Linked DNA regions of Drosophila melanogaster. Each later gene encodes a partner of the first gene's protein in a complex. Each region holds a gene or a part of one and is shown in the gene's direction. Other genes may lie near its edges.

Evidence for each region.
Region 2: ttm2 (region 1) and Tim17b1 share a complex: the UniProt entries of both Drosophila melanogaster proteins name them as parts of the TIM23 complex.
Region 3: ttm2 (region 1) and Tim17a2 share a complex: the UniProt entries of both Drosophila melanogaster proteins name them as parts of the TIM23 complex.

The regions. Positions count from the first base shown.
Region 1 is NT_037436.4:271,968-281,829, forward strand, and holds ttm2 (tiny tim 2), read left to right. Parts: upstream 1-3,187; 5' UTR 3,188-3,370; coding exon 3,371-4,600; 3' UTR 4,601-4,700; downstream 4,701-9,862. Other genes in the region: CG32845 (uncharacterized protein), read right to left, coding at 243-1,403; miple2 (midkine and pleiotrophin 2), read left to right, coding at 1,598-2,063, 2,137-2,283, 2,628-2,840, 2,900-2,922; RhoGEF3 (Rho guanine nucleotide exchange factor 3), read left to right, coding at 6,233-6,364, 6,434-9,089, 9,154-9,767. UniProt on the Drosophila melanogaster protein: Essential component of the TIM23 complex, a complex that mediates the translocation of transit peptide-containing proteins across the mitochondrial inner membrane.
Region 2 is NT_033777.3:5,295,200-5,304,484, forward strand, and holds Tim17b1 (Tim17b1), read left to right. Parts: upstream 1-4,945; 5' UTR 4,946-4,992; coding exon 4,993-5,314; intron 5,315-5,505; coding exon 5,506-5,702; intron 5,703-5,768; coding exon 5,769-5,789; 3' UTR 5,790-5,987; downstream 5,988-9,285. Other genes in the region: mtd (mustard), read right to left, coding at 442-596, 658-764, 948-1,436, 3,003-3,290, 4,271-4,374, 8,912-8,983. UniProt on the Drosophila melanogaster protein: Essential component of the TIM23 complex, a complex that mediates the translocation of transit peptide-containing proteins across the mitochondrial inner membrane.
Region 3 is NT_033777.3:5,255,237-5,268,164, reverse strand, and holds Tim17a2 (Tim17a2), read left to right. Parts: upstream 1-5,472; 5' UTR 5,473-5,639; intron 5,640-9,005; 5' UTR 9,006-9,019; coding exon 9,020-9,694; 3' UTR 9,695-9,829; downstream 9,830-12,928. Other genes in the region: Hph (HIF prolyl hydroxylase), read right to left, coding at 325-703, 763-902, 964-1,044, 1,133-1,412, 10,044-10,600; Enoph (Enolase-phosphatase), read left to right, coding at 11,562-11,917, 12,227-12,483, 12,546-12,703; CG1113 (uncharacterized protein), read right to left, coding at 12,762-12,928. UniProt on the Drosophila melanogaster protein: Essential component of the TIM23 complex, a complex that mediates the translocation of transit peptide-containing proteins across the mitochondrial inner membrane.

The DNA.
Region 1 (9,862 bases):
GAGAGAAGAGGCTGGATCGCGAGATATTTCTAAAAATATATGGCAATGAATGGGGATATACAAAATGTATCTGCACGAAAACTCATATGCTCGCCAGATGTTTAGCTTGAGTAAAAACTTCCTTAGAATTTCCGTTTTTATTATTTCTGTTTTATTATTTCAGGTTTTAATCAGAGCTTCTTTCCCTTAATGTAATTTCATGTGTGTATTTGCGCAATGTTCGGGCTCCAATTAACAGTGCTCTACAAGTTTTTCTGTTTTTCAGTTTCTGTTTTTTTCCCCTTTTCGTTTTTAATAAAAACATTTTGAAGTTTGATTACACTCTTTCCTATATCTTTCGATTCTATTACCTTTATATATTGGCCTAGACGCGAGGTTTCATCCACTTGAGAGTGAACTATTAGATTTCTTATATTAAGTTGATGTCTTGCGAATTTGATACTCTCCTTCGGTGCCTCAGACACAGAAGTCGAGGACGAAGCTTTAAAAAACACACGACCCGAACAACTAGACATACTTTCGAAAACTGGTGATTGCCGTTTTTTGCATAAGAACGCTTTTTGTTGTTTCGTCAAATTGGAAAAATATTGGTTTTTCTTTAGGTGGGCTTTAGACTTCGCTTTTTCGTTTGCAATAAATATTTTTTTAAGACGTCTGCGTCTGTTCTTTGTGCTGTAATTAATGTAGTTAATCGGGGTGCGCAACAAGATGTGATAACCTGCTTTCGTCTGAAAAATCTCAGATAGTTCGCCATCTTTCAGCAACAAAATGTTTCTCTCAAAGACGAAAGGCGTTTGTGTAAGACTCAAGGGGCCCAAGTCACCGCCATGCCGGGCAGAGCAGCAATCGGAGATCATATTTGCCAATTCAGCAAACTCAAATTTGCCTGATTGAATTAGATCCCTCGCATGCATGATCTTATTTAGCGCTTCCTGCTTAGTTCTCCTTACCATCCGTTCGCGATATGAACTACACCTGTCCGATTCGCTGTGCTTCACCAGGATGTGTCTGCAGCGGAGCTGGTCATTGAAGTCAGAGTAGTCTCCAAGAATGGCGCCCCAGGCATTCCTATCCTTTTCTCGGTGGTGGCTTGGAGGCAGTGTGAAGTGTACCTTTCTGGTAATTGTGTCGTAGAAATAGCACTCCTTGGTACTGTGAGCTATGCGCTCTTCCCATCCAAAGGGCAGCTTGTTTGGCCTTTCGGAAGTACGTTCTTCAGTTAGGTTCGATAGCCCACTGTCCCCATCACCATAGGAGGCGCTTTTCACGTTAACACTCGAATATACGCTTTTAGAGCTCGCGTCAAAGCAACCCCAAGAGTGGTCACAAATCTGATCTCCATTTTTGCCATCTTCTTTTTTAAATATATCAAACTTGCATAGCGCCGGATTCTTGGAGTTCATTTTTGCACAAACTAGACGGTGTAGGTATTTATGTGACAAGTGTAGGTACTGAATAGGTTACTGCTTTGAACCAAAGTCTTAAAGAAAAATAAAGCAATGCATTCTTGTTTGTTTTACAGCTCGGCTTTAAAGCATATATTTTTAATTATATTTTATTTTCATGACTTTATTGTTTTTAGGTTTCCGAAATAGTTATGAATCTTATACTGGCTTTAACCACGGCTCTGCACCTAGTTTTGGTGGTATTGGCGCACAATCCGCTATCAACTCGTGGCGAAAGCCTTTCTGATGGCATACGTCTGGTCATGGAAAAGAGGTCGGGCGATGTGGTACACATTCGTCCAGCTCGGGGCACACTGGAGGCCGAAACAGTCGCATCCACAACAAATAGTGACACCCACCGCACCAGGAACAATCGTAAGCCGAACAAGCCTCAAGAGCACTCTCAGCAGGTTGGGGCCCACAAGTCGGGATCTAGAAAACTAGTGGTTGCGGAAAATGGCGGGGCACTGTCATCACAACTACCACAACCAAATCACAAGCAAGGCCACAAGAACACTGATAAGCAACAACGAGGAGGGGGATCCAAGCAGCAGCGAGGACATAGCCAACATCATGGAGGAAATAGGAAAGGGCCTAAGGCAGCGACTCCAGAGAATGGTAAGCCTTAGGACTGCCACGTCAGAATTCAAATAGTTTTTAAATGCAAAGTCTTATATTTGCTTGTTAACAGGATCGACTTGCCGATACGCAAAGAGCGCTTGGTCCAATTGTGATCACAAGACCAACATGCGTTCACGAGTCCTGTCCCTAAGGAAAGGAGAGCAAAACTGCTTGCCCACGCGGACCATACAAAAGAAGTGCAAGAAAGGTGCGCGCGGTAACTTCTATATGTATCATAATCCTACACAGCGCCTCCCCAAAAGGGGAACGTAGTAGAATCGGGCATTCCCATAAAAGAGCAAGGCGGTGTCATTGCCGGCTTAATGGGTCCAAAGGTCACAAAATGCAAAAATCACTCTTGTTGACCCATATACAAGAATGCTTCCTTCTGGGGAGGATTGTGCTCTCTTCGACCCACTTCGAGGTTCTCCCCGCCACAGCTTCGTTTCGTTTCCTAGGAAATACTGCAGTTCCTGTTCCTAACAATGCAGCGAGTGCATCCTTCATAATAGCAAATACTTTCCAAAATTAATTTGAAATTTTGCGTACTTCCTTCGGTAGGCTGCCGCTATGAAAAGGGTGAATGGTCTCAATGCGTCGGAGGACAAATAACCAGAGAGGATAAGTTGGAACCAGAGGCAACTGGCGGTAGTGATCAAAACTGCAATCCTGTGCGTACCGTCAGCAAGAAGTGTAAAGCAAATGGCAATTCCAGTGGAGGAAAACAACACGGCCAGAGTCGTCGAACAAAAGAGCAAAAGCAAAAGGATAAGGGTAAAAGTGGTGAATTTGACCCCTTTGTGAAAAGTTTGATCCAAATTCTCTGTTTACAGGAGCCAGTCACATTTCGTCTTGATAATGAAAATTATTTATTTTATACGTATACGGAAGCAACATTTTTAATATTAAATAAGCGATTTTTAAATGCTAGCCCGTACGGACTACTTGAACAACAATAAAGAATTGGCCTTCTTAGGGCTAAATGAAAGCACTCTTTTAGAAATTCTTGAAACAAGGCTTTCACAAACCCCAATACCGCGAAAACCTGCACAAAATGAGACCTGTTATTGAGTAATCAAAGAGCATTGATAGAACTGTTAGTTGGCTCTGAGTTTTTATTTAATATTAGACGCGACAGTAAAATAACCGTCTGCGACAAAATTTAATTAACATTACACAAAAGAAAACGTTACCTCTAACTCGGCTTGGTAATATAAAGATGTTAAATTTAATAGTGTTTCTTTACTTAACTGCAAGCCCCCTTTAAATTGATCGATCTTTCGAGGCAAATCTTCAAGTTACCAATGTCTTTAATAGCCATTGAAAGGGTGTTATGTGGCTGGCCCAAGATTTGCCGCAAACTTATTGTAACGTCGCGGTCGCTGACCTCCGGCTTGCGGCGGGCACTGGTCAAGCAGCCCCGTAAAGGCGGAGATGTTGGAAAACCCGGAATGGAGCTTGGGCGCTGTTCGTGCTTTGGACTCCGTGTGAACCTCAGCAATGCATCCGTCGTATACGTTGGCCACCGACGCTACTCGACGTACGAGAAGACGTCTACGCAAATTTTAACGAAGCTCTTTCCACAAACCTCTGAGGAGTCCAACGACGAGGAAAGTCGTGAGCGGCGGAAACTTGAGGAGGAGGAGGAGCAGAAGGAATTGGAGCGGGCATTTAGGCGGATGAAACTGGGCTTTGGGCTTTTCGGCATAGGTAGCATGTTGTTCTCGTTTTGGGCTATATATTTCTATGGAAGGCCGTCCTTGGATGAGCACGGAAATGAAGTAATCGACGAATTTAGTTGTCTGCCACAGATGCAGCAGCTTATGTGGCGGACATGGAAGTCGGTGAACCGCTTTCAACGGTTTTTCAAAGAGCCGTCGAGAAAAAAGCTGCTTCCTGATCCCCTTCAGCCCCCCTACGTGCAGCCGCCGTATACTTTGGTACTTGAGATTAAGGATGTGCTGGTACATCCCGATTGGACCTACGAAACAGGATGGCGCTTCAAGAAGCGCCCTGGCGTTGACGTGTTTTTGAAAGAATGTGCCAAGTATTTTGAGATTGTTGTTTACACGGCGGAGCAAGGAGTTACTGTGTTCCCGCTGGTCGACGCGCTTGATCCGAACGGCTGTATTATGTATCGCCTGGTTCGCGACTCTACGCACTTTGATGGAGGGCACCACGTGAAGAACCTTGACAACCTCAACCGAGACCTAAAGCGAGTGGTTGTCGTGGACTGGGATAGAAATTCCACCAAGTTTCACCCTTCGAATTCATTCTCGATCCCGCGGTGGTCTGGAAACGACAATGACACTACCCTCTTTGAACTCACGTCGTTTCTTAGTGTTCTAGGAACGAGTGAGATCGACGATGTCCGAGAAGTGCTGCAATACTACAATCAGTTTAGTGACTCGTTATCCCAGTTCAGAGAAAACCAGCGAAAGCTGGGTGAGCTAATGCACGCCGAGGAGGTAGAAAAAACTAGCAAGTCTAGGCCCGTTGTCAAGAACTGGACCCGTGGCTTCATAAATCATTAAAAAGATTGTGCGTTTGATGTGTCCCTTAAATACTGTTAATTCACCCAAAAAATTACATTAAAACTTTCCTAGCATTCTTCAATGTCTACCTACTAACAGCAGTTACTTTTGCAGTTTTTTGCGTATTCTGATTGAAAAAGTCTGAAAACATATGATTTCTGATTTGGCATTTAAAGCAGACTGCCCTGCGGAACGTCAATGCTTCCTTGAAGGTAACAGTGCAGCCACTAGGCGGATACATAGCCGTAATGTTGTGAAAAATGTTGTGTTACGGTTTTATATGAATGCAGGCTTCCAGAAATCCTCAGTCCAGCACGAGCACGCAAGCTCAGCAACATGTTGCTGCCATGTGATGGTGTGCGTGAGCACGTGCCAAAATAACTACGACACATGTGTACTCTTGAGGGAATGTTTCCACAATCAACAACTACGCACTTCACACCACTAGGTGAGTCATGCGCAGTATCGTCCCTGCGAACATTCATCCGAATGTTGGCATAAGTAAGTAAAGGGATCAGGTGTACTGTAAGCCTTCCGTCTAGTTACTTTCGATGCAGATTTTGATTCTGGCTGAGGGTTCGTGGCTGGCTGGGCCTCTTCTCCTTATGTTGAAAACACACAACAATTCGGTGGTGGAAGTATACTGCGGACGTCAAACTGGCGAGCCAGGGCGCAGGCGTTGGTTCATTTGGCACTTTGTCTGGTACTCTCCCACATCGGCATCCTGCAATCTCTTTGGCTCAGCATCCTTGTAAGCTGTTGTCGGAGCAATCTGGGCATGGGGCAACTGAAAGGAAAGCAACTTTCCCATTCAGGAGCGCACAAGCCGCAGGAATCGCGAGCGCAGACAATTCAGTTCGGCTTTAACGTAATGGACGGAAGGTTTGAATATCGCTTCTCGCCCCAGTTGTACAGATAAAGTCCCACTGCACGCAATAGGGCACTTGGAAGATACAATAGAACGCCGAGCAGTGTGTGTATATAGGTTTGAATGCTTACGATTGGGAATAAGTGGCAAAATATTGCAACTATGACCTAAACGCAAGGCAGTTAATAACTTCGCCAGCTTTTGGCCAGATTCGTGACACACTTAACTTGAAACTTCAATGCTAGTGGGATGGATATCTACTCTCAAGCCGTGTTTTAATGCCCCAAGGATTCCGCTTTCTTGCCACAGACAATGAGCAGGTGCGTGTGCAGTTAAACTAATAAAATTGTAGTGGACCCACCCGACCCACATATTTTGCCTATTTGCTCCTATTTGTGTTTTTTTTGGTTACCTATGCATATGTTATGCATATGTATGCTCAACAAACCATGTGGAAATTGCCGATGGGAAGCTTTAGACTAAATGCATTGACTGCGTATCCTTCACTGCCACACCCTAAAGTGACTATGCTATCACTCACTCGCAGGGGGAAATGACCCACAATCATAACAATAAAGATACAGATGAGAGCCCACATGTACATATTTTATGGAATGACTGATAACCAATGTATTTAGAATGCATGACACACTTTGAATTAAGTGCTGTAGTTAAGTCACACATGGCACTGCACTATCTGCAGATTTCAGCCAAATTGGCCATTTAAAATCTTATTTTCTAGATTTGCATGTAATCTATAAATAATGGCAACTGAAACCTTTTTGGATCTGAATTATGAGAGGGGCAAGGTGTCGAAGAGGTCACTGCGACCAAAGCTATTAAAATTGACAGATGTGACGATACCACATCGAAGTCGGAAGAAAAACAAAGTTAAGGTGAGTTGCGAGTTGTGAGAGGGAAAGAACATTTGAGCAACTAGATCTTAAAGCGCTGTTTGTTTTCAGACCAAAGACCGATCAGCCACATCCGTGCGCGACAGGATCTATGATGATCCTGCCTACACAGAGGACATAAGCCACTTGGCGAATCCCATGCGTCGCAGTAGCATTTCTGGGAAATCCTTCTTGGAACACAAGACGAGGTCAGATACGGGCGGTCAGGCATCATCCAGCAGCCTACTGGCCAAAAACCAGCTGCCCCAGGAGCTGCATCAGTATGTGTCAGGGAAGCAGGCCAAGATCAAACAACACCACACAGCCACAATAGCTTCCGGTAGCACCGCCATCAGCATAAACTACGAATGTGATTCGAGCAGCACCGACAACGAGGTCCAGGAACCAATCCAAACCAAAGGTGGTATGAACCGCAGGGTGCGCAGCCTAGAGCGCAATCTGGCCGCCACAGGCTCCGAAAGGGCCGAAAAGAAGGGAACTCAGAAGCGCACCTCGAAACAAAAGCGGAATCTTAGCTTAGACAACAATCGCCATCAGCCCGCAGGACATCCGAAGCGGGAGGCGGTAGCTGTAGCTAAGGTCGGTCACGATGCTGACACACGAGCCCGCAAAGAGCGAAATCGGAAGCCCTACGGCGAGATGGGTCCGGATGGTGGTGTCCCGACCGAGGTCAGTGAGTTAGATGACGGGTACTCTGCTCGCGGTTCCGCTCAGAGTTCCGCCTGCACCTTACCAGCAGAATCAGCCGCCGACGCGGCGAAAGTTGCTATCGGCAAACGGTTCCTGCGCGGCGAGATTGGAATTAAAAGCTTTAACTACTATCTGCTAAAGGAGGGCTTAAAGAGCTCGAAAAAACTAGTGGACCAACAGCGAACCCCAGCTGGCAGTGGCAGTGTGGAGTCACCTCTGAAGGCCGAAAAACGACATTGCCGCAGCGAGGAAAACATCTACGAGGAGATCTTCTTTAAGGACACGGCCAACGCGGTGAGCTCGTCGGCAACAGGAGTAGCCACCGGCATGGCGATGCCCGTTGCCCTGACAATGTGTGATCAAGAGACGCACAGCCTGGAAAAAGGAGCTCAGCCGCATGGAATAGGCGCCACCAATCCCGCATTTGCAGACTGCGAGTTTTGTATGGAGCAATGCAGCAAGGAAAACTGTGAATATTGCTTGGCCCACGTTGAACAAGTAGCAAGTAAAAAACTGAAGGCGGGGCAAACACAGGAAGAGCAGTACCTCAACCAAGGACATAGGAAAAACCACACTATGGATTCGCGGCCTAGTGCTCCGGTGGTCGAGGTGCCGACCGCCCATATACTAGAGTTCCAGTCGTACAACCCAAATAATCCAGGCGTTTACAAAATTGAGACGACTCCAGTGGCCATAACAGGAGACTACAACCCGATTCTACAATTTCAGCAGTCTTCTGCTACTACATCGACCTCAGCTACCACCACGCCAAGTGAACCCCAGATTTATGGTGGATACTACCTGCCCCATGCGAACCAGAGGCCATACCACTCGCCAACTGTTAACAGCCAGCTGCCAAATCACTACGCCGTGGGTGGCAGTCTGCTCTTGGCCCAGGTTACGGGGGCCACTCAAGGGTCCGCCACGCCGCCTCGGCGACCCCAGCAGCACTTTATAGTGGGATATCAGAACGGAGGAGGTATGTCCGCAGGTGCGGCTTCCTTACAGCGCTTTAACACGAAGTCCTCGTCCTCGAGCGACTCGCTTCCCTATCACAAATATAATACCATGGCGCGACTGGAGGCAAATGTGCTAGCAGCTCCTGCCACTGGGGATCTTTACTATGCGGTCAGTGGGACGCAGCCACTGCATCCGCTTATGTATGCTGCCAATAGACCCATTGGAGGATCCCAGATACTGGTGGATCCCTACGATCCGCAGATGTACAAGAGCGACTCAAAGGCATCAATTCTGAGCGAGTTCTCCCTTCGCAGCAGCGACAACTCGCAACGCTACGCTCGGCATCCTCATCGGCGACATGGCGGGCGCGTCAGTGATTCCAGTCTGTTTTCAGTGTACTCAAACTCTGGCCAAAGGCGGTACTTTGGAAGCTCGGAAGGCAGGTTCGGATACGATTGTAGACGCTGCAGTCTGGATGGCGTCATTGGAATGAGTACTGCGACTGGAGGGTCTATGATGGCTCCCGATAAGTGCAGCTACTCGGACAACTGCCGGTTCGAGTGCCGAAACTGCGACTGCTCGTCAAATTACTTTAGCTCAGACTTTGATGATGTTTACGGATCAATAGCGCGAGGAGGAAGCAGCGGAATCCCGCGAAAAACTGCAGCAGGGACACTGCCATCAAGCGCACAAGACGATCAAGTTGAGCGATTGGAAGCCCCACCAGCGTCGATGGAGCAGCAGCAGTACGCAGACCTAAAACAGAACAAGTACGCCCAAGATTTCTTTAAGCATGTTAACGACGTAAAACGTAGCATTTACCAGTCGGAAATGAAGAGAAACAATAGCTTGGAGTCCTCAAGGAGTGGTCCAAGAGCTGGCGGCAGCACAAAAAGCAATGTCAAAGCAAGTCCCAAGCGGGCCGCCTCACAGGAAACTAGATTAGTAACTACTCTTCCGCTAAGCAGGAGTCGGCTTTCTGCCGGCGTAAAGCCGACACCTGCACCAAGGACCAGTCTCCAGACACCGACTCCTTTGCCGGAGACTACCGTCGCAAGTAAGTACAACCGATGTGGGATTCTATTGTATAGCATTGTAAATAACCCTGGAATTATTCATAGAAGATCCCACGCCTAGTAAGCGAAAAAGTCAACCAACTGTCCGGAGAGAGTATCCTTCCTTGGACAGGCTCGTTGCGTCTACCACGGGCACCATTCCGAAGAAGAACAGCAGGAACATAACAGCGGCCAGCTTACAAAGCCCGAAGCTGACGCAAAAAACTAGATCAGAGGCTCCCGAAAAGAAGGTTGCACCTGAAGATCAGTTGCCGCTGCCTCCGTCCGGCAAACGACACCATCGCACAGGCGCATCGAAGACAAATACAAACGCTCCCTGTTCCAGCCTACGCAGGAAAGACATTCCGGCTCCACCTCCGCCTTCCCCCGCTACATATTCCGACCTCCAGGAGCTAAAGGCCAATATGGAGGGTTTTCGAGACGATACTAAGTCACGAAGCTTGGAGTACGACACTAACGATCTTACGGCTGACGATAATTCCAATAAAACTCAGAAAAAAAGTCTCAGCGGACCACCGAATCCAATGACGGAAGCCCCAATTGGAGCCACTGATGCAGGTGCAGTGGAGACTGACGACAACGACGTCTTCTATGATGCACGCAGCGAGGATTCTGGCGGTGGTATCTTGCCCTCGAATACCAGTGATATATCGAAAATGGTGAGTGCTTTGCTATTGGTAGCAGAATTTTGGAATCGTGTAATGTGAAATACAAGCCCTTATTTGAGTAGCCCGACTAGTAGCTATGACAATTA
Region 2 (9,285 bases), on another chromosome or scaffold:
GATTATATATAGCTATCGATTTCATTGATTTAGAAATGCGTTTATAGTCCTGAGTTATCAAATTAATGAGTTTTATGGCAATCATGAACAGAACAGAAAACAGATTCAAATCGCATTTCCATCAAAAGGTATTATGGATACGATGTATGAAATTAATCAATTTATAATTTCGCGATTAAACTTTGCCATTTCGATTAGGTAAACCAAATTATCTAATAATAATGTTTATGGTAAAAATACGAATGGTAAACAAATTACTTACATTATGTTAACTACTTAAAATCGAACATTATAATACGTTCTTCAAAAATCAAAAGTACAATTATACAAAAAATGTACATTTTTTGCGAAGTGAGAAAAAACATCTTAAAATGGATCAACAAACAAAAATGCCTGGAGAATGTGTGAACACAAGCGTGAGGCAGCTGGGCAAACACTAACCGGTCTTTGCTCGGAATGGCCCAGTGGTGATCCAACAAACTCTTGCGCCGCTCCTCGAGGGTGGAGCGAGTGCTGGAGAGGCCCAGGCCGGCCTTCTTGTCTTCATCGTCTAGAGCGTCAGTCTTAGCGCTATCTTTGGCTTCCATAGAAGAGTCCTGTAGAAAATGAAAGAGCAATAAGTTGGGACACAGGAGTAATATGATAAAAATGACTTACCTCCACACGTTCGCGGTCGAAGGCTTTGGGAAACGCGTCGCCATCGCGTCCAGTGCTGGAGCAAAGCGACTCTTGGTCGTCAGCGATTTCCAGCGACCCTATTTCTGCTGTTGTTAGATAAGAAAATAGCATTAGTAAGCGAATTTCTTCTGAAAAAGGAAATTTTATCACTGTTTCTATACTTCTGCTTCCGAACGATCTTAGGCAAGCTAAGCAGTTAATCATCTTCAACGATTTTATGTAGGAGTTACAGAAACTTGATTTCAGGAATGACCCGTCGAGGAACTTACCATCTAAGCGCTTATTACCGTCTTCGCCCAGCAGCGACTGCTGCTCGGGTAGCTCCTTGGAGTCTTCTTCGACTAATACTGGTTTGGGATAGTAGATTTCCGGTTTCTCCGCGTCTCCCGAGGCGGAGTTCAGGCCCTGACCTGCTCCTCCGGCCACTCGCATGTGCGCAATGTCGTGGAAGATGGCGGCGTTGACCACCAGCTCCATGGGCGCAATGACGCCGTAGCTCTCCGGGCCGTGCTCGATGACCAGGGGATCGCTGACGTTGGGATCGAACATAACGGCGTTGGGCGTGACCAGCAGGACGCCGCCCACCACGCCCTGTCCGTCCGTGATGTGGCGCACATTGATCTTGAGGAAGCGCTGTGTGATCACCGGATCGTCGCTTTTGTTGGCCTCCTCCTCCGCCTGCTGCTGCTGGCTACTGCCGCCCACGCGCTCGATGTGTCCCGGTTTTGGGGATCCGGGGCGCAGGCCCTCGAGTATGTCTGCAAGGAGCGGCATTTGGTTAATATCTTTGCTGGCTAGGTGGCTGCAAAAACGCCATTTAGTTATTATATTATATTAGGGGCAAGTGATTTTCGGGTACTATTTTGCTGGGCTGTGATTTTATCAACTACACCCGTGGCCGCGATAAGATTGTGAAAGCAAAATTGATATATGGGATAGTTTAAACTAAATCTACGCCTTGTGACCCCCTTTGTTGTTCTAGGTGTTACGACCAGTGAATGGGAACGGCATTATAGCGCTTTTCCTAGGTAGTTCGGCGTGTAAGGTGATGTCGTAAAGATATTGCCTAAAGGGTGTAGCTTTTGCATAGGGTCATGGGATGGGAAGAAATGTTATACATTATACGACTTTCGAAAAGGGCTTTTTAATAGTTCCGACTAACTGGGTGGTAGTAAGTTTTAAATTTAACAGTGTAATTTCTAGTTTCTAGCTCGAAACTACAATAGTTATGATGCCTTTTGAATCTATTAGTGCAACTTCTTTATCATCCATAACCGAGATTCGGTTTCCTGGGACATGGACAACGAGACCCTTGCTTGACCGAAGGTTATACTTTCCGGAATATCTGGACCTTCAAGGCCAGGAGTTTGTCAACCGCAATTAGCACTTTTTCACAGATCGGAGCGACAACAAAGGTAGAAAATCAAACAATAACCTCCATTGCGCCAGAAGACAGCCGTGTGCATGCTGAAACTTAGAATATCGAGTACGTCCGGGCGCACTCTACGTCGTGGATTATCCGGCTCTCAGTACGTGGCTTTCGGCACTCGACCGATTCGATTTTATAGCCTTTTTAAAGTGAGAAACAGCGGAAAAACACGTTCTATGAAACAGTCAACATTGGCCAGCAGTGTGACCGCAGCTCGGTTGTTTATATATACCTCATAGTAATGGAATATACTAAAAAGTTCTCGTCTAAAGTAAGGTTATTCATGAAACTGCAATGCTGTTTGTGGAAGAAGTGGCGCCAAAAATCTTAAAGTTATTACAAAATGTGGCCAAACATTAATTTGCCATCTGAAATTAATCAATTAACATATGCACATACCTTTTCTGTATTAAATAGCTGAATAAAGTTACTTTAAAGTTAAAGCTAGCCCTGAGACTAACTTCTTCTTGTAATTATAGCAATTATATATCAATTTATATACTAAACATTTTTGAGGGCTTCAAATGTTCAATAGTTTTCCAAATTAGTTTAGTTTTTACAATGTAATAAACATAGCCGCTTTTCGCAGTTGCTAACAAAACATTATTAAGAAGAACTAATTAAAAAAAAAACTAAAATCAAATAAGCGATATGTACAGTTAATTGCGCATCTGGATATATGATAGTATGCAAATGTTTGGACTTCTCTAGTAAATGCGACCCAAAAAGCGATGGAAGAACGCAATACGGAGTTTCTCAAAAAATGTTGGCACATGCATGTAAAAAGCTCGTGAAAATGAAAATCTCAAGCGGCGATGATGGCAAACGCTTCACTATCGTCGCACCAATTGCACCATTTCCACGGAGCAGCGCCTGGGTTGGCTTCCGTTCTTACCTTTCTCGCGGCTCTCGTCGCCGGACAACTTGCGCTCGACCGGACTCGATTTGCCGGACAGGCTGGCACCGTCCGCGTCGTGGGTGGAGCTGCTGGAGGCGTCGTCCTTGGCGCTCTTGTCCGGCACCAGCAGCTGCTGGCCCGGATAGATGAAGGAGCTGTTCAGCCGGTTGAGGTGGGTCAGCTCCGAGGGCGTGGTGTCGAACCGGGCGGCCACGGAGGTCAGGGTGTCGCGATTGCCCACGGTGTAGGAAATGGTGGGTATGGTGGGCAATGAAGACTTTTGCCCTGCGGAACGAAAAGAAATCATAATTAATAATGGCATCGTATCGCTGGAGGTACGTGCTCGCAGTTCTTTACTCGGAGGATCGTGCTTCTTCGGGGCACGCTGCTGGAAGACCTCGAAAGAGTCGCCATCGGGTCGCAAGTGCGAGCAGATCACACCTGTGGGCGGAACCTGCTGCCGGCAGTGGTAGATAACCGAGAACTCGTTGGTTGGCATGTGCCAGTATATCTCAATCAATTCCACCATTTCTAGCCCTGTATCATACGGTTTTTTTGTATCGTTAAAACTGCGGGCTCATCAGTTTTCTCGAACTGTCACAATTACATTCATACATGTAATCAACTATCAGCGCTGTTAGCTTTGGCGCGCACTTTCAAACGGGAGGTGCGATAAGAATTTGTTTATAGGTACCCCCCGGTTGGCGCACAATTCCCTGAATCAACTTCAAACTAATGCCAGTAAGTAAGTATGTTTTTTTTTTTAATGAAAATTATTTTATGATTATGTTAAGAATGCCTCTGGTTTAGGCACTAAAATTGAATGTAACGCGCAAAGTACAATCTGTTCTGATATATCGGAATCGGAATACTGTAGAATTAAAAAAAAAAACACCCTTTTTGCTAGCTGATTTGATTCAATATGTACACTTTTCTAATAATACATCGATTTTACATAGAGTGTGAGCATGAGCGACACCTGGCGGCAGAATACCCTAGCGTTGACTTGAGGAACCTACGAGTTCTACACAAATTTTACATTCATATTACATATAAGTTTAAATTGAACTATTTTAATTGAAAGTGAGTGGATACAGGGGGCTTAAGCCGGGGTTCAGCAAGGATCCTTCCCGAAATAAGTATTTGTTTTGAGAAATACAAAATGATTTTCATATAATTCTGCATCCATCTGCTGCCCTAACCAAAGATTCTCCATCGGTTTAAGTCTGTCTAATTAAATTATACTTATTTGAATAGTGACTTACTTGATAATTTGTCGACGCTCTCGAAGCGCTGCTCCACTTTGGAGCGGAGCGAGTCCAAGTCGAATGGAGCCGCAAGGCCGTGATCCACGCTGCGCGATTTGCTCCTGGAAAAGTGGGAGAGTGGTTGTAAATCGGTTGGGAATGGAATATTTGGGCTTGTAGCGATCGGAGCGCAATCTGTTGCGATCCTTATCACTTACAAATTTCCAGCTCGAATTGTGACCATAACCGGGTAATAACAATTTATTTATTGGCAGCCCGTTTGCCTTTTTTATTCAACCTTTTTGTTGTGCAATTGCTATCGTTTTGTAATGATTATCTTGACGATCAGCGAGTGTCCAAATACGGCAAAACGACGCATTTTAAATGTTTTTTTAAACGGTTTTTGATCTGTTTTGTTTTTTGTTAGATCAGCCTTTAAACAATTGGCGAGAAGTCACGATTTTCATGTGACTTGTCCTTAGGTGTTCGATAGAATTAAATCGGAAAAGTATGAAGTATAAGTAATTTGTAAGGAATAACACACGTGTCGAGTGCTTCTAATTACTGATTCTAATTTTAAAATGTAATTTTTTCTATTTGCTTTAAAAGTTTTTTAATGAAACTTTGAATTGAAAATCGCTCTCAAGGAGGCTTTGACTTGTCCATCTATTCTGCTGTGTGTGTCTGTCACCCCATCAATTTTATCGACTGAACTCTCCTGAGTCCGATAATCAACTGACATGGCGGAGTACGGTCGGGAGCCTTGTCCCTTTCGCATTGTCGAGGATTGTGGTGGAGCCTTCGCAATGGGCGCCTTGGGCGGAGGAGCCTTCCAGGCGATCAAGGGCTTTCGAAACGCCCCCTCCGGCCTGGGATACCGATTGAGCGGAGGATTGGCGGCGGTACGGGCTCGATCCGGCCTGGTGGGTGGTAACTTTGCGGTGTGGGGCGCTACCTTCAGCGCCATCGACTGCTCACTGGTTTACTTCCGGAAGAAGGAGGACCCGTGGAACGCCATAATTAGTGGAGCAACCACCGGGGGCATTCTTGCTGCTAGAACTGGTGAGTTTTAAAGTTTTTTTTTTCAGACAAATGCATTAACAATTAGTAAACCAGGCTGGTTTTCAATGCTTTCTCAGGACTTTTATATCCTTATATCCTTTTTGCCTTGTTTTTCTTTCTGCTTAACTTTATGGCTATTATCGCACGAATATGCGAATATTTACTTTTTTGCTTATTCCTCTTTTTGGCAGGACTAACCTCCATGCTCAGTAGTGCCTTGGTGGGCGGGGCTCTATTGGCCCTAATAGAGGGCGTGGGCATTGTGGTGTCCCATTATTCGGCGGATTCCTACCGCCAGGTGTCGCCCGTGGAGCGGCAGCAACGGTATAAGCAGGAGCTTTTACGGCAGCAAAAGGGCGTTTCTCCACTCGCAGCGACTTATGGAGAGGTAAGTGAAATCCCCTGCGCAATAATACGCCTCAATAATTCCGCCACTCACACTCTTTAATTCCAGATTGACTCTTCGGCATTGTAGAATTCTTCGCTGCGTCATCGCCTAGTCGTCGCTATCCATCCGCGAACGCGTGGATCGACGATTGCATACCAATTTATAAAAGATTGCTTTGATTGTTCGAATCTGATACTGGCGGCATTCCCATTTCAATTTAAATTCAATTGTCGTACAGTGCAAGTTTTAGAATCATAAATATATTTTGCTTCGGCATATTTATATAGACAGTCTGAAGTCCAGCCGAAGTGTGGTGGCTTTTTGGGAGGCGCGTGTGCTTCAAAGCTCCATACTTGAAATTCCAAACTTATTTGGGGTTTCCTCCTACAAAACTCCTTTGATCAAGCCAGAAACTCGAACCTTAATATATCTAAGCCTAAATATTCCACTTTATAATGCTTGTTTCTGCACCCGTGGAGTCAGTGGATTCTACTAGATTCCTAGAAAAGTGTGTAACAGACAAATGGATTTTATTTATTTTGTTTTTGTCTGCTACTTCAATCGATATGCCAACAACATATTGAAGTTTCTCACTAGCTAAATCAAGGGTACTCTACTATATATCATTAGATTTTCTTAAGTTACACTTTGAATCGTTCCTTTTTTTTAAAAGGTTGCTAGTGCTTATCTTTATTAAAACATCTCTTCTGCACTACATTCCTCTTTCTGCACTCACATAAGAGCAGTTTTCCCTATTATTGCGTTCCCGTTTGATTGGCAAAACTAATTTCCGTTACGATTTCGGGCGGGAAAATAGGGTTTCCTCTGCCCAGATAGTTGTATCACCGTGACAATGTGAATGTGACAACCAAGTACCCGAATCGTCAGGAGGGGGCTATTCATAAGCTTGAGTATATGAAAGCCTCTTTCTGTCGATCAAGGAACCCCTCTTTGGCTTCCCCCTGAAAATAATAAAAGTTTATTTGCGCGTGTCTTTTCACTGCGTTGCCAATTAGCGCAATTGGCGATAACCATAATTGAATATCAATGATAAAAAATAAATACGCGAGCGCGTAGAATAATTGCGGACTGGAGTTTTCAGCTGGCAGCAGGCGCATGCAAAGTGCCTTTGTTCGCAAATAAACAGCGGCGGCAGCAAATACTAAATAATTATTTAACGCATATTTGTCGCCATCAGCTATTTGCCTTTCCCATTTTTAATTCATAGCCATATTTACCCCCGTTCGCCAATGAGAATTTTCCATGGAAAGTCTTCAAGTGCCTGGCTGCGCAGCTGAAAAAACCTTTCGTGCTCGCCGTTTTCTAGGCCTTTTCGCGTGGAAAACCATTGCAAAAACAAGAGCCTGGTTGAAACAACTGTGTTTGATTTAAGTTGGCCACATTTGATGACGACCACGTTCCGAGTTATTGAGTTCAGACGGCGAAATGGCAATGGAATCCATTTGCACAGTTGGCTTTCGCGCTCAAATGAAATGGATAGGTACATATTTTGTCTTTGTTCGGCAAGCAAACATGAATAATTATTAAATAATTGTAAATGACACAAATATTATGTTCGGAGGCCGTGAATTTATTTTTCGCATTCTTCTATTTTTCTGCCAAGAAGGTCAAATATTTCGAATAAGCTAACATTTCTAACAGATTAAAATTGCTTCTTCTTTTTCCAACAACTAATTCTCAACAAATATGTACTATTCATATTTCAGCGACTATCTTATACTTATACTCGTATAGTGTAAAGAATGATTATAGGTTAAGACATCTTTTTCATGTTGTGTCACTGAGCAATTCCCAACCTCTAACTGTGCTAATCACTGTAACTAATTGCCAGCCAGTAGTTTAACTGCTATAGACACGCTTCCGCATTAACCAGTTGGACACACAAAATAGAGGATAAAATGAAACATCTTATTCATCATATGTATATATAGTTGCCCTTACTAATCCCCTGATGTTCTCCATACCACAAGTATCTCCAGAAGTATCCGCAATGCGACGAGTCACATTTGGCCAGAGGCTCTTGAGCAATTGAAAGCCGAATGGAAGTCATTCAGGGCTCGATCGCTGGCTCATACGTACATTCATACGTACATAGGTACATACAAATATCTTATCGCTCTTGTGCATTGTTTACCTTCGGGAATGTGGCCCTGGGCTACGATCAGTGGCATGAGCACCGAAAAAACAAAAGTAGCAGTAGCATTTTACTGGCACAGTTCCACCGAGCCAACTGTGTGTCAACAACCCACGGGGGTGTTACCCACAGTGCTTACATTACGCATCGAATGGCAGAATGGCAGAATGGCAGACAAGCCGAAGTGAACTGAGCGAGTGACTCAGTTTTCGCTACGTATACGTAATGTGCGATGCACGCACACATAATGTGCAATATTGGTGATTATTGCATATGTAAAATTGAAAATAAAGAGATTGTACTTTCTTATGTTCCACGTGACTCACCAAAAGGTTGCGACCTCTTCTTGGGATAGGCCTGGAGTATTCGCATCCTAGCAAATCTATTTATTATCACAATGGAACACATACTCTCACTTCGACTGCCTTCGAAACTGCCTTATCTCACACCCCTCAAACCGCCGATTTAATCTGTGAACATCAATCTGACATCACTTGAACATCAGCCATTTATTTACGCTTATACGCGACTTATATATTATCAGAATTCGTTAATAAGACGACAGCGAACATTAAGATAATCTATAAACAATCTATAATTTGAACACTGGTCGCTCTCGCCTTATAAATTATCAATATTTGCGGCCTGCCGTTTTCGATTTCGATTTAGATTTAGTTTTTTGCCCGGCTTATTTACAGACCGCAAAAATAATTTAATGCGGCAATGGTTATGGTCACAATTCGCTGGAAGTCAAATTTATCGTTATTTCTTAGATCTACGAATGGGTTATCAAATGTGGGTTAGACTTAAGTCGGGCCATGCACATGCACAACATGCAACATAGATACATAGATACACATAGCATAAGGTGGCTTTATAGTTATGTCATGCAGGTGCGTCACAGGCTCTTTCTACAATACATATGTACATATGCACATGCTATGTACTCTGGCTCATTTGCATTTGAATGGACGGGTGTTTTGGTGAGGGAGGCGGTGGTGGGAGGTAGTTGGGTGGACTTAGGCGGAATAGTTAGGTGTTAGTTGCAACTTACCTGCGCACGGGTATCGCCAAATTGTCAACGCTGCGTGACAAACTGGAAACATCTTGACTAGCCCTACGTGACCTGGCACGTTCGCAAATCATAAGGAGCACATCGGGGCAGGCGAACAAAACCAATTAAACGGCAAAGTGTGCCAAAACAAAACGGGAGGTCCAAAGAAATAAACGGAGAAACAATAAGGTAAATAAAAATGTGTAATTACGAAATGGTAAATTCAAAATACACGCTGCAGCGAAACTCGTTAAGTGTATCTCGCCTAATCGCGCGGGTTTAACAAATGCCAATTTACGGAATGCACACGTACCGTTGGGAACTCAACGATCCCGATCCCGATCCCAATCAAAATCCCAAGCCCTCCTGTCGAA
Region 3 (12,928 bases), on another chromosome or scaffold:
ATAATACTTTGGCAGCCAAAAACTAAGAATGAGCTAGGCAAAAGGTCCTGACAAAGATGCAACAAACTAAAATTAATAAACAACCAACTCGGACGCTGACATGGCAGTAAGCTAATGGTTAATGCGAAAATGACTAAGGGTACGACTTAGAGACTAAACTAGAAGGCTTAACGACTAAAGGAGCTTTGATTAACTTTCGCAATGCGGGCTTGCGCTGCCGCCCCTCCGAAGCTATAAATAGTTTTTAACTAGCTTTATACATGTGTGTTTGGTTGAAAATAATTTACACTTTTTGGTTGCCTTTAGCTGCGCTGTCGGCTTGGGTTACGTGCATATTTCGCTGCTGGTGGCGCAGGAATTACTCGACACATTGGCGTTCAGCGCTCCCGTTCCCGTGGACATGCTAACCGGCAGACTGGATGCGGATGAAGCTGGTGCTGCGGGTGGTGTGGTGGTGGAGTCTGGTTCAGCCTGTTGGGCTTGGGCTTGAGCTGCCAGATTGTTCGTCTTGCTGTTTTCCAGCTTGGCCCTAATGAGGGCCTCCTCGCGTTCCTTGGCATCGAAGTACCAGACGGTGATGGCATAGCGGGTACGGTGAGCGGGCTGCACTTCGTGGGGATTCCGAATGTCAGACCAGAAGAATATCAGGCGATCAAACTTGGGCTCAATATCCGCCACTGTGGTTCCGGGTGTTGGCCGAATTCTGTTTGTTGATTAAAGTTAGGTTGATTTTCATATCACAGGTATATTTATTACACCTACCGCAGAATGCCGCCACTTTCCCGCGCATCCCAGTTGATATTCAGGTAGTATATGGCCGTTATAACGCGGCCATCCTTTTGGGGATTGTCCACATGCATGACGTAGTGAGTTCCCGATCCCGGATAACAAGCGACCATTGCCTAAGATTAAGGAATCATATTTTAGCATAATCTCAAAGGTATTTTCACAGCATATGCTTACCCTCGTGCGCTCCCTGATGTGGTAGTTGCCCAAGATGCCATTATCCTTCATCGTGTTAACACGATACACCACAGAGTCAATCTGAAAGGTAAAATTAGATTATACTTCTTAACTTAAGTAAGCAAGTAGTTTAGGGACCATAAAAGTATTTCTTTTGTACGTTGCTCACCTGATTGGTCAGATACCAGACATTGCTGCAGCCCGGCTCATTGCCACCAACCCACTTGATCTTATCGCCTCGGATCTTGTCACCGCGCACCGCGGGTGCATCGGGCGTCTGGTTGGTCACCACTTGGCCATCCTGGAAGGCTCCTGCGTTGTACATGCTTCGAACCTCGTTGAGGATCTTCAGGCCCGTCTCCATCCCCAGGAAGTCGTCCACCACGGACAGACCATACTGGTTCATGTCGCTGATGATGTTACGGCACAGATCCTCATAGCGGCGCTCACTGCGGAAAATCAGAAGGGAAACAAAGATCTTATGTTAATTACGTTCCCTTTTAGTAGAGAGACGAAGAGAAAAAGTATATAGACCTTTCAAGACCGTTAATCTGTAACTGAATTAGAGATACCGATGTGAGTGAGGTCACCTTGGGGAAACCCCTGCATCTAATTAATGTTCACGCTTTTCCTTGCTATTTTTAGCACAAAAGTTCGATTGCGCTTAAGCTTTTTTACAGGCGTTTGAGCAACGGGTACTGCGATGCATACAATTTTACGACTTTTTTATGATGCGCCCATAAAACAAATATTTTCATACATGTCGGTGGTTCCCAGTCACGTAGGCCACCCAGAACTCAACTGGCCCAGATGATCGCGAAATTCCGGATAAGCAACGCAAAGCAACACATTGCGAAAAATATGAAACAGAGATGAAACATTTCGCACAAGTTCACATGCGCCATTCAAAGTCATAAAGTCAAATGGTTGTCGCAAAAATACAAATATTACTGAAACGTGCCACGCTGTTGATCGAATTCCCAGAATGGGATGGGGAGAACTATCTGCACGCAACGCAGGAAAGCAAATTCGCTACCGCCAACACATTAATATACGAATTCAAAATCAGCGGCTGTCTAAATATTACGATACACGAAAGACGACATTGACGACCACAAACCAAAACTGTTAACCGGTTTTATTGACATTCGCATAGCCCAAGTTAATGCAAACCATAATTAACAGATTATAAGAGGTGTGAAATCCAGAAGAGAAAATAGTTAATACTCAGCCCGAGAAACAACTATTCTAAAAAAACGAATCCAACACCTAAAATGATGTTCATTGTTGAAAAAGTTTAAAGGAATTTTAAAAAGTAGAATGAGATTTGTATTGTAATAGCAACATCGTTTTCAAAAGCCCCTTAGCTTAAAAACTCTTTTTAAAATTGAAACTTAAAGTTAATTCGGGGAAATTAGATTAGATACCTAAGGGCAATAAATATTTATATCCTTCACTGTCATGTGGACACTCTTAATTCTCTCCTTAGGAGGTTTCCTTAATTATAGCCTCATTTTACATTTGTTCCTTAGGAACTTTAATTCAGTAATTAAAATATCATTACCGCTTGTCCAAAAGTTCCCGAAAGTACTGCTCAGCATTGGCAGGATGTGCCGAGTGTTTAAAAAAGTTTTTGTAGTCCGTGGTCGTGGAGGTTATCATTTTGCCTTGATTAGTCAGCTTGCTTCTCACTGTTATCACAAGAACTCTATTACTCTTGAGACAGCTTTAAGACTGAAGTCCTATCTTTGTATCTCCACAGAGTTATTAGTTGTTGTTGTGCAGAGAAAGGGTGAATTAAGTTCTTGGCATTTGAATTGTTTCAGGATCCTTTTTTAGATACCCTGAATTGGTTAATTACTGTTCTTGGGAGATGACGGGTTCTCAAACGACTCCTCCAGAATTTCACGTGCAACTGAAGGGAGTTTATAATTTGCAGCGAGTTTTATGCGAAGGGGAGCCTCGAATTTTAGAGGGAAAGAGTGCGAGTTATACGTACACCGGCGGTTATATTATATGGTATATAGGTGCAAATGTGTTGGTGGGGAGGTACGTATTATTGCAGTTTGCATTTGTTGGGGCCGGCTGCCTATATATTTCACTTTTCGCTTTGTTTCACTGGCAGATGTTTGTTTTGATTTGACTTTGTTTATGCACAGTTAGTCACGTTTGTGTATTACTCAGCTTCGGTTAACTAATTTAAGTGAAATGTGAAGCAGCTGAACCGAACCGCACTCGTCGCCGTTCGTTTTCCGAATGCGGCAGCTGAGCAGGTCGCTCTCGCTCTTTACCGTTGGTTACGAAGGAGAGAGAGGCAGAGCGTTTTAAGAGCAGGTGAAAACAATCTAGCTATTTTATGGCCAAAAACTAGATTATGAGTGCTCGAATTCTGGTGTGTTAGTCGAACATGTGTTAACGTTTATAAATTAAATGGACATCTACGAGCAATACTTGAGGCATTTAAACCCCAGTTCAAAATTGGCTAAGGTGAACTGTACGTCTATCCCGGATTCGGAATACAATCGTTTAATACGATAACATCAAGATCGTAGAAAAGGTTTAGTTTGGACTACAAATTGTAGTTCGTTTGCTGTAACCAAATTTTTCTAGCTATTTTCTGTCCGCCTCCCAAATCCGTTCATCACTATCTCAGAGCGTCCATGAAACTACGAGTAAATCAGAAAGTTGGGGGCCTGGGAAGCAGCTAAATAATCGAAGGAGAAGCAGCCGCTTAAGGCGATAAGCAGCACCTTGGTAGGTGAGAGCAAATAATGAAAAATACGTACATATTGGTAAAAGGTAAAAGGCAGCTGCAGATAGCGAAAAACCGAACTGAACGTGCAATTTATGGGATCGGATACCCCGCAAGGTTCCAGAAAGCGGGAGGAAGCTACTCGTTCCGCTTGCCCTTCAAGAGAGTTTAAACACTCTCTGCCAAGCCAAACCAATTGCAAACGTAAAAGCGGGGAAAAGCGGAGGCAAACAGTAAGGCAGAAAGACAAGCGCAACAATCGTCACGTAGCCCAGCACACACACCAATGCGCAATTGGCACACGCACATGCGAGCGACCCATACAAACGCAAAGAAGCCACACGCACAGGCGTTAATGCGAGAGCCAAGTGAGTCAGAAAGAGATGGTCGCCAGCGAAGGGAGTGTGAGAAGGTCAGCGATAATGTAGATATTTAAAATGTTTGATACAAATATCTGCTAAAAATGCTTAAGAAACACTAACGAAGATGAGGCACAGAACGGCGGAAGCACGCGGAAGCTAGGCGAATGTGCGAACCAAAGAATTGGGTCAACGGCCCAGTTCAAAGTCGCCGCCAAACAACGTGCACGCAGAGAAATCGGGGAGACCTTTTAAAGCGCCATTAAAATAAAGAAATATCCCAGAAATCTGCCCAACATTCTGTAACCAAGATATATAATATATATAATAATATAATATATATATATAATAAATAAATCAGTCATAAAATTGGTAACGAAAAATATCAAAAGTATCTTATGGAATAGGAATAAAGATTATTCTATCTTCTGTCCTGTCTATACATTATTTATTATTTGGTAATACCCTTGGGCTAACAATAATAATAAGTCCCACACAACCCAGTTTCGAAGCAAAATGGCCACTAAACTGAACTGATTTCTTTTAGTGCAAACACGTTTTCGTGTACATTGTAATGATCGATTGGCGCCCTTTTTGTCTGTGATGTATTACGTGCGACAACGGCGACTGCGGCACGTGTACCACACCAACTCGCAGCCCTTTTGGTGGGCGGAGAAGCACCTGGGAGAGGGGCGTGGCGACGCACACGCACTGAGTGGCAGTCGACCTTGGTGACGTGCGTCTGCCTACGTAGCTCGCTCGGGCTCGCACTGGGTTCGAGATCCATCACTGGGAATCCATCACACAGCTGAAGGAGACCACAGACATGGGTTTACACCCAATTGGAAGTGGATAACATAAATAGAAAAGGGGAACCTTTAAGGAAATCCCTAGGAAATTTACGAATATTTTTAAACTAAATACCATTGCAATAGTTTTATATTTCTAATGTTTCCAATGGTTGCATAGTTCACATCGCAAGATATTCGATCTAAATAAACTTTATTTGATTTAAACTGGAAAGCACTTTCTCTGCTTTCAAAACTACATTTAGACATTCAAGTTCGGAAATGAAAAAAAATGAGGTGAGCAACGCTAAGGTGAATGCATTCTGGCTGAATCTTAGGCAAATCAAAAAGTAGCAGAGCAAACTATCCGCGAATGGATTGATTCCATATTGACTTTTCCTATCAATATTGCTGATTCAAATTGGAATTCGGTGGCGACAAGATGCGGTTTTTTCGACTTTTTCTGTTCATCGAGTTTTGCGCAACCGTATTGTTTGTTTTTCCCAGCAAGTTGCTTGACACATGTATTTTAGCACATTTCTAAACAATGACGGAATTTTGCAAGCCCCTGGAAATGAGATCACGTCGGTCCGACTGCGCTAATTGTTTGATAAAGAACAACACATCCCGCCGCAGATTGAAATCTCGGAGCTAAGGCATTCGCTAAACTCTGATAACACGATTTGAACGATACGCTTGCGTATTCCCGGCACGTAGGCAAAACGCTCCGGACCTCCCGGCCGAACGGACCACCCACCCACTTCGGGCGATAAGAAGGTAGAAAATACTGCACCTGACAAAATCGATTTGCAACAGTAACATAGAAAAATGAAGGCTTTTATTTGTGTATCCAAGTAAAAAGAAAATATCATAACTATCGGGTGGGAAGTTATCTGAATTAGTTCATATGTTGCACTTATTAGCTACAACTGCACATCCAGGAACACAAAATAATTTACTGCACAGTGTGGGGTTGATGATGACTCAGCCGGATTGGCTGAAAGATAAAATTACGAACAAATTTCTATATGTGCTCCGATGTGTGCGGTTCATGTTTGTTGTATTCGTTAATGCCGGGGTGCAAAGCAAAATAAATAAGCGAGTATTAAAGATTTGGACGCAACAAACTGCGCAACAGAATAATTACAAAGTCAGCACCTCCGCCCGGAAGAATGCGAGTCCGGCTGCGATTGCAGGTGCTATCAGATCGGGCATGGGTGCCATATACACTATGCGGCCGGGCACGTAATGCCGAAGGTAAATAAATACTCGACTCGAGAGGTGCCATCTCGGAGCAGAATGTTAGCAATCCGGAGACAGTCAAATCGCAGGGCAATTACGAATCTCATCTGACAATGCGATGAGTTGAATGGGAAAACAAACTGTTTCTATTTTTAAACTTTTACGTCTGAGAATATCGGACAGCCTATGTAGTACGTGCAGACATCAATCTAAAACCAACACCAAGTGTTTGTCTCCTAAAGAGTCCTTTCCTGGTTCCCCATTGGATTGGAAGCTTTACCTTGAACACCTGTAATATTATATCATATGATTTGTGTATACTTTAACAGCAGCAGTTCCAAAATGAGCCATGGTTTGGCTAATACAATTATACTAATTCACCCAAGCGATCTAAGATGATCTAGCAGTGCTATTCAATGTTTTGATTTGTGTTATAGGACCTTTTGCGAGGTAACTAGTATAAGCTGTATATCAACAACCAATAAATCAGCTGCGAAGAAGCTTGAGGATCGCGAAAACCATAAACTTCAGCGCCATATGAGCGATATGTCATCAGCTGTGTCATGTTCTGCTGTTGATTCGTGAGGCTTCTCAGGAGTGGGCACGTAACCGCTTATCGTAATTGACTTGATGTGCAAGTGAAGACGATAGGGGGCTACGAGCAGGAGGATGCACCTAGTGGGGTATATTTGGGGCTATAGATTTCGCTCCGGGACAAACTGCAAACGCAACTTCAAGTGTGCGGTCGGCTAGCTAATCGCGGTGCTTGGTTCAGTTACATTTAATAACTAGTTATCAGGTGAAATCATGGCTAATCAAATTCAAGATAAGCTTGCACCAAAACGTAGAAAATCTATTCTACCGAGTCATTTGGATGTTTTCAATAAGATATTGAAAATAACTCATCAATATCTGAGTGGCATTTTTCTTGTACAAGTTTTTGCTCGATCTATGTACGTTGTCAAGAAACTGTTTACACACTGTGAAATAAGTTGAATTTTTGACTTTAAAGCTAAAAATTAAGGGTTTTTTGCTTAATTAAACGAAATTTTTTTAAATAATATAATTAAACAATATTTATTTTATTTATAAATCAAAAAACAAATTCAAAATATTAAATATACAAGAAAATAAACAACGAATTCCAAGTTTACACACTTTTAAGACTGTCAAGAAACTCTTTACACATTTTGTTTTCCTACTTTGTTTTGTTCTTTTTCTTAGAACGAACTCGATTTTTCCGTTATTTTTGGCTTTGCATTGCTTTTTACAACGCTTCTATTGAAATTTGTTGACTTTGCTTGTGAAATTTTGCTGATCAAACGTGCTTAAAGCGAATTATTAAATTTAATAAAATGCCTGGAAAGAGATTAACTTTTGAAGTTACCCAATTAATAAACTATAACCACCAGTTGGAAAAATCTTTTCCAGAATTAGTATAAATGTTTCCTGTATCCCGTAAGACCGTCTACAATGTTTTAAAAGGCTCGGAAAAAGAGGGCAGGCTTGAACCTAAGAGTGGTGGTGGGCGGAAAATTAAAATTAAAAAGCGTGTAGACTGCTTTATTATGCGAATAGTGATTGCGAACCCCCGAATCTCGGTCAGATCACTTGCTCTAGATATCAGGCAAGAATGTCACCTAGCTGTGTCACACGAAACTGTGCGCCAAGTCATCCTACGCCATAGGTACTCTTCAAGAGTTGCAAGGAAAAACCCTTTGCTATCAGATGCCAATATTGAAAAGCGTCATTTATTCGCAGTGAGCATGATGGATCATGCGGAAGAGTACTGGGATGACGTCATATTTGGTGACGAAACAAAAATGATGCTCTTTTATAACGACGGGCCAAGCAGAGTATGGCGCAAACCGTTGAGTGCGCTAGAAAAACAAAATATCATTCCAACGATAAAATTTGGAAAAATGTCACTGTTGGTTTGGGGCTGTATCACCAGCCGTAGAGTGGGAAAACTAGCCTTAATTGAGGGCACAATAATTGCCGTGCAATATCTAGGAATTTTAAAAAACAAATTTGAAGGCCAGTGCAGAAAAATTTGATCTAGTTAGCAACAACAAGCCAAATTTTATATTTTAAGAGGACATGATCAGAAACATAAAGAGTGCAATGTACGCACCTGGCGCCCTTATAACTGTGGTAAAGTGATCGATACGCCCCCTCAGAGTCCTGATCTGAACCCCATTGAAAATTTGTGGACCTACTTAAAGAAGAAGGTGGCAAAAAGGAACCTAAAACACAACAACAGCTTATGACTGTAATAGTCGAAGAGTGTGAAAAGATCCCGTTTGAATATGACCTGCAAAAACTTGTCCAATCCATGAAAAAAGGGCTTCAACTTGTAGCTAAAGCCAATGGGGAACATACTACATACCAAAACTTTTAAAATTTTAATAAAATAATTTAAAAATTTAGGATTAAACATCGATTTAGTGTTTTGTGTAAAGAGTTTCTTGACAGTCTCAAAAGTGTTTAAACTTGGAATTTGTTGTTTTTTTTCTTGTATATTTAATATTTTTAATTTGTTTTTTGATTTATAAGTAAAATAAATATTGTTTAATTATATTTTATAAAAAAAATGCGTTTAATTAAGCAAAAAACCTTTAATTTTTAGCTTTAAAGTCAAAAATTCAACTTATTTCACAGTGTGTAAACAGTTTCTTGACAAACTGTATATTTCGTTTGTAGGACCATTGGTAAATATTTGTATCTAGTTAGAACGGACGTAAAAGTCGTAAGGCAACATTCTCAAAGTTATGTATAATCTATAAACACACGTTTTTAATCAAAGGCCATATTGGTCAAAAGCTGATAGCACATATTCGCAAAACAAGGAAAGTTCACTACAAATCAAGTTTTGAATTAATTACGGATTCTTTTGGTCAGTACATCACCCGAACATGGAGTACAATCGCCAGCCGTGTCCCATCAGGATTGTAGAGGATTGCGGGTGCGCCTTTATGATGGGCACCATGGGAGGATCGTTGTTTCAGTACCTCAAGGGATTCCGAAACGCTCCGTCCGGTCTTCGACGTGGCTTGCACGGCGGTATAGAATCGGTGAGGTTGCGGACACCGGCCATAGCCGGCAGCTTTGCCATTTGGGGCGCCACCTTCAGCACGGTGGACTGCGTCATGGTCTCGTACCGCCAGAGGGAGGATTCCTGGAACGCGATTGTCAGCGGAGCGGCCACTGGCGGAATTTTAGCCGCCCGGAATGGAATTCGAGCCATGGCCAACAGTGCCTTTGTGGGCTGCCTCGTTTTAGCCATGCTCGAAGGAGCTGGAGCAGCAGTGGCTACGATTTATGCATCGGATGGAGGAGTCAAAGCAGAGGAGTCCCTAATCACTGTTGACCAGCAAATGCAGAGACCCCAGTGGGAGACATCCGTTGCTGATTCGAACCTAACTGGGGCGGAGTTAGAGCGGGTGTTGGATGAATGTCGGGCATACAGGGCACACAACAAGATGCAGCAGCCTATGCGTTCGGACGCAGTGGAGGGTAAGGAACTGGGGCAACTGATGAAGCCAATGCACTCGTTGGTCGATCTGGTAAAGCTGGCCGAAATTGTCTGATAGAAAAGCTTTTAAGGTTTTAAGTCAACCTCCCATGCTTCTTCCAAATTAAGTGTTAATTCGATATTCAGCGTTAATCTTATATTATTTTTAAAAGCCCAGTAGGTACAAGGAATGATTTTCTATCTCATGGAGAATATTTTTCCATCTTCAATAAAAGATCAGCTGATATTTGATTGCATCTAATAAAATACTATGGCACTATGCAGGCTCAAAAGAGCTTCTAAGAAAAATATATCTCTTCTAGCGTGCCACCATGAGCAGTATTATAGTATTATACATTTTTAACTTATGTTTTAGCATAAAACTGTTGAAACTGAAACATCTGACCTGTCCACTGACGACCTACCTTCCTGATCCCATGAAGCTGGCATCCGCCAGACCGATTTGATAGCTGGAGCTCTTTTCGCCATTATGGTGATGATGCTGGTGCTGCTGCTGCCTTTGACCTGTTTCCGTTTCCGCAGCTGCAGCCTTCTCCTGGCTGCCCGGCTGCCCGAGGAGATTCAGCAGGTTGTCTACCTCGGCGGGCCAACTCTGCGCCTGGTGGGCAGGCGTCATCATCTGGGCGGTGGAGCAGTTGGCGCCGGCGCCGCTGCATTCCAGATTGGCAGATGCCACAGCTTGTTGCAGTTGCTGGATCTGCTGCCGCTGCTGCTGCTTATTGTTGTTGCTGCTGTTGAGCTTTTGGCGGGTCAGGAGGCGGCACTCGGTGCGGTGGTCGGGCCAATGGAGATGCTGGTGGGCGGGGGAGCAGTAGTAGACGGCCTTGCACTTGGCGCAGCGCAGTAGTTGCTGCTGAGTGCCGCAGATGGAGCAGCGCGGCGGGTCCATGGCCGATTTGGATGCGGAGTGGGAGCCGGAATGGCTTGCTGAATCCCTGACCTTTCCGCGACCCCTGCTCATTGCATTTTGCGGGAGAGGAGAGCCAAAGGCGACGACCGATTTTAACCTTGACAGCTCTCCCAGCTTTTTTTACCCCACCTCACCTACGCCAACTGAGGCAATCACACACACACACGCTCGCAGATTATGGCTATTTGTTATCAATGCGAATTACGGCACTCGGGCGTTTTAGCCAACATTTCACTTAAGACTGTTTGTGCTTATTTTAATCACGTAGGCCACCGAATTTGCCAAATAAACAAAAAAAAACGCACATACAACGCACACACACAGACGCACGGGCAGCTATATGTGCATTGTTGTTGGTTTTTCCTGCGAGTATTCTCTTTTGTAAGACGTTTTAGGGTTGCAACTTTTAACCCTATTGACTGTTTTATACCCTGCCTTGAGCTCTATTACGCCCCTTGTTTATAAAAACCGCGTAAACTGTGCAAAAAAAGGGAAAAATTCTTAACTCAGCACTAAAATTTCTTTTTGATAGCGATGGGCGTCGACCGATACTTAGCGTGCAGCGATTGACATGTACTCGTTGTACAGCACTATTACCGGCGGGCAGTAGGTATCGATAGCTGAACGAGCCAACGTTAGTGGTGATTATTTTATACTGGCACTTATATACTAACGGTAATCAAAGCTTTTTATTTCGCTATTTTTATTTACTAGCTTTAATATTTAATTGCACAAGATTCGGAAACAAAAAGCTATTGGGAAAATTAACTCAAAGCGGCCATTAACCCCATAAGAATTACTTTAATACAACTTCAGTCGATCGTTTATCAATTAAGCAAGGTCTCTAAGAATGGCAAATACCCTTATCGTCTATTCCAATACATTTATATATATATATTTTAAAGTCGATAGTCGATAGCGCGATGTGCCATCTCCATTATCAAAACTAAACAGATGCTGGGCGGAAAATCAACTGGTTCCTCGTGATAACTTAATCCCACTAATAAGCGCAATGTCGTCCAGTGAACGAGTGGCCAAAGTGGTGCTGGTGGACATCGAGGGCACCACCACTTCGATTAGCTTTGTGCACGATGTCCTGTTTCCCTACGCCAAGCAGAATGTGGAAAAGTTCCTGAGGGATTCGTGGGAAGAAGATGATATAAAGCGTATTGTCCAGGATCTACAGCAAGTGCCCCAGTATGCGGACTACAAGGCCCTGTTAAGTGGTCCACCTACGGAAGTGGATGTAGATCTGATTGCAGGCTTTGTGCGCTATTTAATTGATCAGGATCTGAAGGTCACGCCAATGAAAACGCTGCAGGGCTTGATTTGGGCGCAGGGCTACGCTAATGGAGAGCTGAAGGGCCAGTAAGTTCCCCATTCAATATTCTCCTATCATGGCCATATAAGTTTTACAATCTGAACTCTAGAAGGTTATCAAAGAAAAGGCTTACTTAACGTCTGTTCCCAAAAATAATTTGGGTGTCTTTCTGAGATCCAATTATACAGCTTGGTGATTTTTTAAATATGTATGCTAGCTATATTCTCCGCACGGGAATGTTTAACTTTTGCTGATTTCAATAGTTATCAGATAACATTCAACATAGTAACCAAAAGTACAACGCAACAACTCATTATTATTGATAATTAATTAATTATCTATAAATGTTATTATAGTGTATACGAAGACGTCCCTGCAGCTTTTGAGGCTTGGCGTGCTGCTGGCCTCCAGATTGCAGTCTACTCCAGCGGCAGTGTGGCTGCCCAAAAGCTGATATTCGGTCATAGTTTGGCCGGGAACCTGCAGCCGTACTTGAGTGCTTATTTCGACACCCATGTGGGCCACAAACAGGAACAGCAGTCCTATAAAAACATTGCCAAGCAATTGAAGGAGGACCCGAAGCAGATACTCTTTCTCACGGATATTCCAGGAGGTGAGTGGCTGATCCACACGAATCCTCATCCGTAACATTTTTAATGTGAAATTATATTTTAGAAGCGGCCGCCGCTCGCTGTGCGGGCTTGCAAGCCATAATTCTGAAGCGTCCTGGAAACGCCGCCCTAGCAGACGATCAAAAAACTGGATTCGAGTTGATTCCGGACTTTAAACCACTTCACAACCTGAAAGTTCCGGTCAATAAATCCCAGGCTTAGGTCATTCCAAAAAAGTATACATATATTGTGACTATGTGCTTGGGAATTAGGTGAATCTCTAGAGGAAAGCTCGATCTGCGCTGCACAGGTCGTCACCGCTGTCGTGGCTGGGCGTCTCGGTCGTGAGCCCCTGCGGCCGTCGTTCGGACCGCTTGCTTCGTTGAGACTGCCTCGAACAGGACTTTTCTGAGCCATAGACCTTACGCAGTTGCTGCAGCTTAGTAT